Sus scrofa: one gene and its partner. The protein of the gene in region 2 purifies or fractionates together with the protein of the main gene of each other region. This does not show direct contact. Links are inferred from orthologs where the notes say so. Each region holds a gene or a part of one and is shown on either strand. Other genes may lie near its edges.

Region 1 (3,809 bases), on a different chromosome or scaffold from region 2:
TCGTTTCGGCAGGCCCAAGCACACACGATGCTTAATGCATGTAACAGTAAACAAACCCAAGCAAATGAAAAACATGTAAGACAGTCAAACCACAAGTACAAGGAGTTAAGATTTTATTCCTTACTCTTTTGAGATTATAAAGCTGAGCTTTAAACAACAGAGAAGCACAGTACTTTGCGCTTGCTAAGGTGAAAGGATCGCACCTACAGAAGGGAAGGGATAAATTACTTTCTTACACAATGCCGTTAATTTTCAAACAACTAAGAAACTTTCCAACATCAGAAAACTTTACGAACGCAGATGTTTATTTGTCAAGAGAATTTCACAATTTAAGTGATGTATAGGAGATATGCAAAAGGTATTTGTTTTGTTCTATAATGTAAAACTGCTTACCAAAAGTTTTAGCAGCCTGGATAGTTTCCCTGGATCCACGAATGGTCATAATTTGAGCCAGAGCAGTTAAATCATCACTTGCTTTATAAAATGGATACCGTCCACTAAGCAGAGAGAGGAATATGACACCTGCAGACCACATGTCAATTGCTGTAACAGAAAATCAGCTTTGAGAAAAATCCCCAACCCATAATTTTACTTCTGTATCAACAGTTCGCAACCTTTACTGTATCTTCAACCACCTTAAGAGCCTTAAAAATATTCTGATGCCCAATCCCCTCAAGAGGTTCTGATTCAACTGTTCTGGAGTAGTGCTTAAGCATCAGGGTTTTTTTTTTTTGTTTGTTTTTTTAATAGTTATTTCCCCAATACAATTTTTTTTCCTTACTGTACAGCATCAGTTTTTTTTTTTAAAAAGTTCCTCAGGTGCTTTTAATGTAATTTGTCTAACATCCTTAATACAAAATACACAGTCTTCTTTCTCGAGCAACGTGCTGGTCTGTTTAAAAGGGTGTTTCGTCACGCAGTAAATGCACATTTTATAACATCAAAACAAATCCAAAGTGGCTGTGTAGGAGAAGAGTCTGGATGCTGCTCAGGATCTACACACCACAGCAGTGAACGCGTTGCCCCGCAGTGCAACGTATGAACATCAGAGGCTTGCCTTCAGCCAGGTGCCAACCAACCCCACCTCTGCTGTGACAACGTCCGTCTCCAGAGTCCTGCCGGTTAGGACCAGCTCAGCCTCCCGTGAAGAAGCTCATTAAAGGAAACAAACAGCTTGGGGAAGCTCGTCTTCTGTCCTAACTGCTGAACTCCCTGCATCACCAGGTTACCTGCTCCACTCCCTTGGCCGCTGCCGCACACCTGCCGTTCCTGGCTCCCTGCGTACCTCTGCCCGCGCCTGCAGTGTTTCCTCCAAGCCTCAGGGGCTGAGGTGCCCCCAGAGTTCCAACGCCTCCCCTGTGGACTCTGCTGGACCGGCCCGTCCACAGCTTCCACTACCCCTCGCGTGGTAAGGAAGACACTCGGTGCCACCGGCGGCCCAGACGTCCCCGCGCTCCAGACGCACTATCACCCCGCTGGGCATCTCTGTCTGGATGTTCCACACGCTCTCAAACCAGCGATGCCCCCGTCCCCTTTTTCCTTCCCTGTACACCGGCTACTTCTTTTTTCTCCACGCCGGTTGCCCCTTAAAGGTCCCCAAGCTAGGAATCTGGTAAACATTCTGGAGGCCTTTTCTCTGCCACCCAAATCCCACATCCAGTTATCCGCCAAGCTCTGCCTGTCCCGTCTTCACTTCGGTTCACTCCTCCCGCTCCCGCCGCGTCCGGGCCTCCATCGTCTCCCCGGGGCCGAGCCCTCTCTGCACACCTGCCGAAGGACCCTCCAGAAGACCGTCAGCTCCGGCGCTCTCCCCCTTTCCCGAACCTGCAGGATGTGGTCCGAGCCACACGACACCCGAACCCTGACCTTCGCCACCTCTCTCCCCGTTCATGTGTCACCACTCTGACTTCCCACACAGTCTGGCAACACGAAGCTTGGACGGCTTCCCGCGTGACCGCGCTATCTTGGGTTCCCCTGCTCGTGTGACCCTCCTGTTCTAATCTACATTCTCTTCCCAGGCGTTCCCTCTCCCGTGAGCTTCCTTCCATGACCCCTCAGATGAGAGGAGTCAGAGACCCTAAAACACTCTGCATACTGAACAGACTGCTTCATAATCACCGGAGCGAGTGTCTGACTACAGCGAAAGCAGATCCTTTTCTGTCACCCGCAAAGCACAGAAGGAGCATCTGCCAAACGAATCCACTTCCGTCAAGTCCATAACCCACGTGAAGACGCAACGCCTCAAGAAGGTGTCCTCTGGGATCCTGATCCGTGACGACTCTTTCCGGTTAGAGTTTTTTCTCTTTTGCAAATCTCCGCAATGCTATCACACTGTCTTCACAACCAAAAAATTTTAATCAAACACACAATCATATGCGTACCACAGAAGACGTCTGAGGTACGAGGCAAACATAAGACGTTGCAAGACTGAAGCTGGCCAAGACTGCTAAGCCCAAGTCCCCACAAAGGTGATGTTAGAATTATTCCTGATAAAATCACCTTGTAGAAAGATAAGCAAAACCTAATCTACAGAGGAAAAAAAAAACAACCCAAAGCAACACTCGGGTTAGAAGCTTTCATACACAGCACCAGGTCAAAAACGGGACTACGCTGAAGTGCCAGGATCACCTCCAGACCTTAGGGAGAAGCAGGACAGCTCCGACTTAGTCCTAACTAGACAGCAATCCTAAGATACACCCGTGGAAACCAGCTGAACTGGGTTCTGTGTTTCCAACGTGACCTACCTGTGGTCTGATTGGGGCACTTGGTCAAGACCTCTGGTGCTCTGAAGCCTGGTGTACCTGCCCGAGGTGCCACCTGCTGCCGCCTAATGATGATGAAAGGAGATGTTTCTAGTTACGTTAAAGTTTAATTACGTAAGAACAAAAAATAACACTTAACCCATTTACTTCACAGTCAAGTAGTATCTATGCAAATAAAAGTTACTAGAAGGCAAATGATAATCCAGTGTGATGGAAATCCTAGATTTTGCTTCTATGGGTCCCTTCCCCTCCCACTAGTTCCCAGGTCTTGCTCCAGACAGGTTTTAAGGTAACATCCAGGCATAAGAAGAGGTAGTAGATGATGACAGCCAAAACAGAAAAACAGAACACATCAGGAACGCTGAGGTATAAAAACCTATTTCTGGAGTTCCCATTGTGGCACAGCGAAAATGAATCCGACTAGGAACCACGAGGTTGTGGGTCTGACCCCGGCCTTGCTCAGTGGGTTAAGGATCCGGTGTTGACATGAGCTATGGTGTAGGTCACACACAGACGTGGCTCGGATCTGGTACTGCTGTGGTGTAGGCCGGCAGCAACAGCTCGGATTCGACCCCTAGCCTGGGAACCTCCATATGCCGCGGGTGAGGCCCTTAAAAGGACCAAAAAAAAAATGTATTTCCATTTTGAGGAATTACTTACTGAGCTATCTGTTCACATATGTACTAGAGTTAATCAGAAAAGCTCATGAAAGCTTAAGAAAGTCTTGAAGGGAAGAAAAGAATTTATGTGGCAAAGAACTGGAGGTGGGAGTGTGAGAAAGGTTCTATTATTTGGTTCAGGTTATTCTACGTCGCCAGGAATAAAGAAAACAAGATGACATCACCAAGTAAAAGAGGCCACTCTCAAGTTTCTGAAGAGCTCTTCCTACTTGCATGCAAAGGCAAACGTGCTCTCCCGAGCATGTGTGTCAAGGGTTGTCACCTGCACGTCCAGGTACCGCGCTGCACCAGGGCCCTCGGTTCTCAGAACTGCACTGTTCCCTTTTACTCACTCAAATCAACCGCCCACCAGAATCAGCAGGCTCAT
Region 2 (3,809 bases):
ACTCGAAGTAAATTTACTACAACTGGCAAACAGGTGGTTAGAGTGTGAGGCAACCCCAGAGGAAAGACAACAGAAAATTCAGGAGTTCCTGTTGTGGTGCAGTGGTTAACGAATATGACTGGGAACCATGAGGTTTCGGGTTTGATCCGTGGCCTCACCCAGTGGGTTGAAGATCTGGCGTTGCCCTGAGCTGTGGCGTAGGTCACAGATGTGGCTCAGAGCCCATGTTGCTGTGGCTCTGGTGTAGGCCAGTGGCTACAGCTCCGATTTGACCCCTAGCCTGGGAACCTCCATATCCCGCAGATGAGACCGTAGAAAAAGACCAAAAAAAAAAAAAAAAAAAAAAAAAGTTCAATCCAGCCAAACTGGGTGGGAATGTAGCCACACTACTCACTATGGATAATGTACTCAATCCGGTCTCTGAGCTCAATTTCCTTATCTGTACAATGGGCAGAAGACTGCAGTGAGGATTAAATGAAGTGATTCCTAGAGGAGAGTAAATACCTGACAAGGGGTCATGGACATAGGATTATTTTCTTTTTTCTTCTTTCTTTCTTTTTTTTCCCCCTTTTAGACGGCCACACCCACAGCATATGGAAGTTCCCAGGCCAGGGACTGAATCCAAGCAGCAGCTGCAACCTACACTGCAGCCAATGCCAGAGCCTTTAAGTCACTGCGGGGGCTGGGCCGGGGATCAAACTCGCATCTCCATAGTGACCTGAGCCACTGCAGTCAGATTCTTAACCCACATGCCACAGTGGGAACTCTTAGGATTATTTTCTTATTTGTAAAACAGGATCATCACACCAGCCAGGGGAACTGCCGTGTGGGTTAAACAAAGCAGCACCTGCCAGTACCCGTGCTCTATTGCCACTGCTGGTCTCTATACCGCCTGCCTGGGAGCATCACACTAACTGAGCACATCTGGCTCCAGCTAGAACACAGCTATGATCCCTCTCACAGCTGAGGCTCCCAGTCTGTCACCAACAGTCCCCTCCGCAGAAGCCCCCCGGCAGGAAGGGTACCGTCCACGTGTAGAATCCGCACTCCCCAGGAGCGGGCGTTGCTCAGGAGGCTGCTGCTGCTCCCCTGGAAAGACAAGCAAAGTCAGGCAGGAGCATGTGACTCCCCAAGGTCTGACCACGATGGGGCAGGCTGGCCCCGCTTCTGGGAGCTCGGGGTCATCCACGAGGGGGGTAGTTGCAGGGAGGCAGACAGGGGAGAGAGCAGAGGGTCTGGAGAGTCAACCCAACCCCCTGGGGAAGACCCTGTCCTCCGCAAGGGCTGGCCACATCGGGCGGGGACGGACTGCGGACCTCTAGCTGGTGAGCGAGAAGAGGCCTGTACTTGGACGAGAGCGGGTGTCGGGAGAGGCCCTGTGAGGCAAGCTCTCAGCCCACAGGCAGGACACAGTAAACACCTGCTGACCTCTCCCGCTGGCAACACCGCCCTCCCTCGGCACAGCCAAGGCACCCACTTGATGTCACTTTTTAAAAAAATTAATTTATTTTTTACTTGATGTCACTTTAACGACTCCTCCCGCCAGATCATCTCAACTCGTCCTCCTGTCACGTAACTGTAATGCCTTGGATTCTCACAAAGGGGATGAAGAGCTACTTGTGAGGAGTTCCCATCGGCGTGGCTGTGGTGTCGGCCAGCAGCTGTAGTTCCGATTCGACCCCTAGCCTGAGAACTTCCATATGCCGTGGGTATGCTCTCACCCCCCTGCGCCCCGCAAAAAAAACAGCTATCTGTGAAAGACGTACAAAGTCTGACACACCCCACAGCTTTGCTCCAAGGTTCCCTTGGGAGGCTCAGGAGTTGGAGAGATGATGGGGTCAAATCACCTCCATGCTGGACAGATTACTTAACTTCTCTGAGCCCCGCCTCCTTGTGTGTAAGGAGGAGTCATGACAACGCTCCAGGTCTTAGAGCACGTGCCTTCTGTGTGAGAACTTCTGAAGAAGCTCGGGAGGCCAGGCTGACTCCCTCCCTGAACCTCCAGCCCGTCTCCCTCAGCTCACCTGGTTTCGGATGGCCTTTTGCAGGAGCTCCTTCCCTCTGCTCAGAGGCACCTGACGGAAGAGGGAGCAGTGAGGGGAGCTGTGGAGCGCCCCTGCGCACACACAGATGTGTCCACAGGGGCTGCCAGGACGCCTGGAAGTCAGGGCCCTCATAAAGCCAGGAGCAGTAACGGCTGAGAAGCAGTGGATGGGAGAGCCCGGAGAGCCTTTCAGAGGTAAAGGGAAAGCCCCAGGGAGCTGCAGCCAGGTGGCCTGGGTCCTGGCCCCCCAAGGTCAAGGGTTACAAATGTCCTGAGACCTCTCTGTAAGAGCCCGAACCCCGGGGCAGACAAGCCTTGGACACTTGCAACAAGCCCTCTCTGGTTTAGAGAGGACCTTCCTACTGTTTTTGAACCTCAGGCTCTGAGGTCCCATAAAAAATGAACACTGGAGTTCCTGCTGTGGCTCAGTGGGACCTGCGACGTCTTGGGAATGCTGGGACGCAGGTTCGATCCCCAGCCCAGCACAGTGAGTTAAAGATCTGGAATTGTTCCAGCTGTGAGCCGTTATAAATGCGGCTTGGATTGGATCCCTGGCCCAGGAACTCCCTATGCCACAGGGCAGCCAAAAAAAAAAAAAAAAAATCAAAAAACAAACAAACAAAAAGTGGACATTTATCACAGAAGGGAGGGCACAGCATGACGCTGAGGTGCCTGCCTCCAGAGCTATGATAAGACAGTTTTGGGCCCTGAATTCAAATGAGAGATGAAAATAAACCAGATGAAAATAAACCAGAAACTGCCTAAAAGGGGTCACTGAGGCATACTTCCCTCGTTTGGAGGGCACACCTTTTGCGCCCTGAGAGGTTCTTACCGACTCCACGGGTTTCTGGGCAGGCCTGGCATGGCTGTCTTTCGGGTTGGCCACGGACGGTGTCTCCACTCTGACCTCGCCGGGGCTGGGGCAGCCTCTGTGACTCGTCCCTCCACTCTCTGCCTTCGCCTCCCTGCGGCTGGACACGATGTAACTTACTTCTTTGCTCAGGAAACCCTCAATTACCTGAAACCAGATCACAGAGGTGGCTGAAACCCGAAAGGCAGAAGTAGAATTATCAATATCGAGAGGTCGAGGGAAAGACATCTGGGCTGCCAGAAGTTCCAGAATCAATGTCTTTAAATAGACCAAATGCAGTTCTGTGCCAGGCCTCCGAGAAGACATCCTCTTGGAACACAATAGGGCCTATCTATACAACACAGGTTCTCACTCCAGAACCGCGGCTCCGCCTGATCCAGCAGCGGAAGCCCAGTGGCTCTGAGGATCTGACTCGTTGGAGTGTGCACGGAACACGAGCACGATGAAGAGACCAGAGAAGATTAATGTCTTATTGGTTACGTCCTGATTTTGCTGTGAAGATACACTGGGACATCCAGAGGCTGCCTCTGTAACCTTGACCACGTTACCAGAAGGAGCCTGAGACAAAAAACGAGTTTCGGCTGTGACTCAGCTGCACGAGTGTCTGCTCATCCTACCTGGAAGCCCTTCATGGCACTGAGAGGGTCTGACTCACCTTGCATCCCAAGACCCCAACACGGAGCCTGAAACACAGTGACACAGCTCAAGACTGGGGGAGGGAGGAAAGATGGCAACATGCAGTAATGAGCCGGCAACCTCTTAAGGCCTGACTCTCTGGGGAGCGGGGGGACCTGCTTTATAGCACTTGCTGATTTCTGTGGGGTAAAATACTACTGTGGCTGATGTCAAGCTAGTCATAATAGGACGTCACTCAATGTGGAACTGGAGAGAGAT

What was found.
Region 1: the proteins of DBF4B (region 2) and CDC7 purify together in Homo sapiens (affinity purification with mass spectrometry; 3 studies listed by BioGRID and IntAct, counting the BioPlex papers as one, with this or other methods). This does not show direct contact. The link is inferred for Sus scrofa from reciprocal best matches to the Homo sapiens genes DBF4B and CDC7.

Annotation. Positions count from the first base shown.
Region 1 is NC_010446.5:125,438,711-125,442,519, forward strand, and holds part of CDC7 (cell division cycle 7-related protein kinase), read right to left. Parts: intron 2,828-3,809; coding exon 2,745-2,827; intron 544-2,744; coding exon 394-543; coding exon of another isoform or gene 323-393; exon of another isoform or gene 1-322. UniProt on the Homo sapiens protein: Kinase involved in initiation of DNA replication. Phosphorylates critical substrates that regulate the G1/S phase transition and initiation of DNA replication, such as MCM proteins and CLASPIN.
Region 2 is NC_010454.4:18,619,419-18,623,227, forward strand, and holds part of DBF4B (protein DBF4 homolog B), read right to left. Parts: intron 3,063-3,809; coding exon 2,877-3,062; intron 2,076-2,876; coding exon 2,025-2,075; intron 1,090-2,024; coding exon 1,026-1,089; intron 1-1,025. UniProt on the Homo sapiens protein: Regulatory subunit for CDC7 which activates its kinase activity thereby playing a central role in DNA replication and cell proliferation. Required for progression of S and M phases.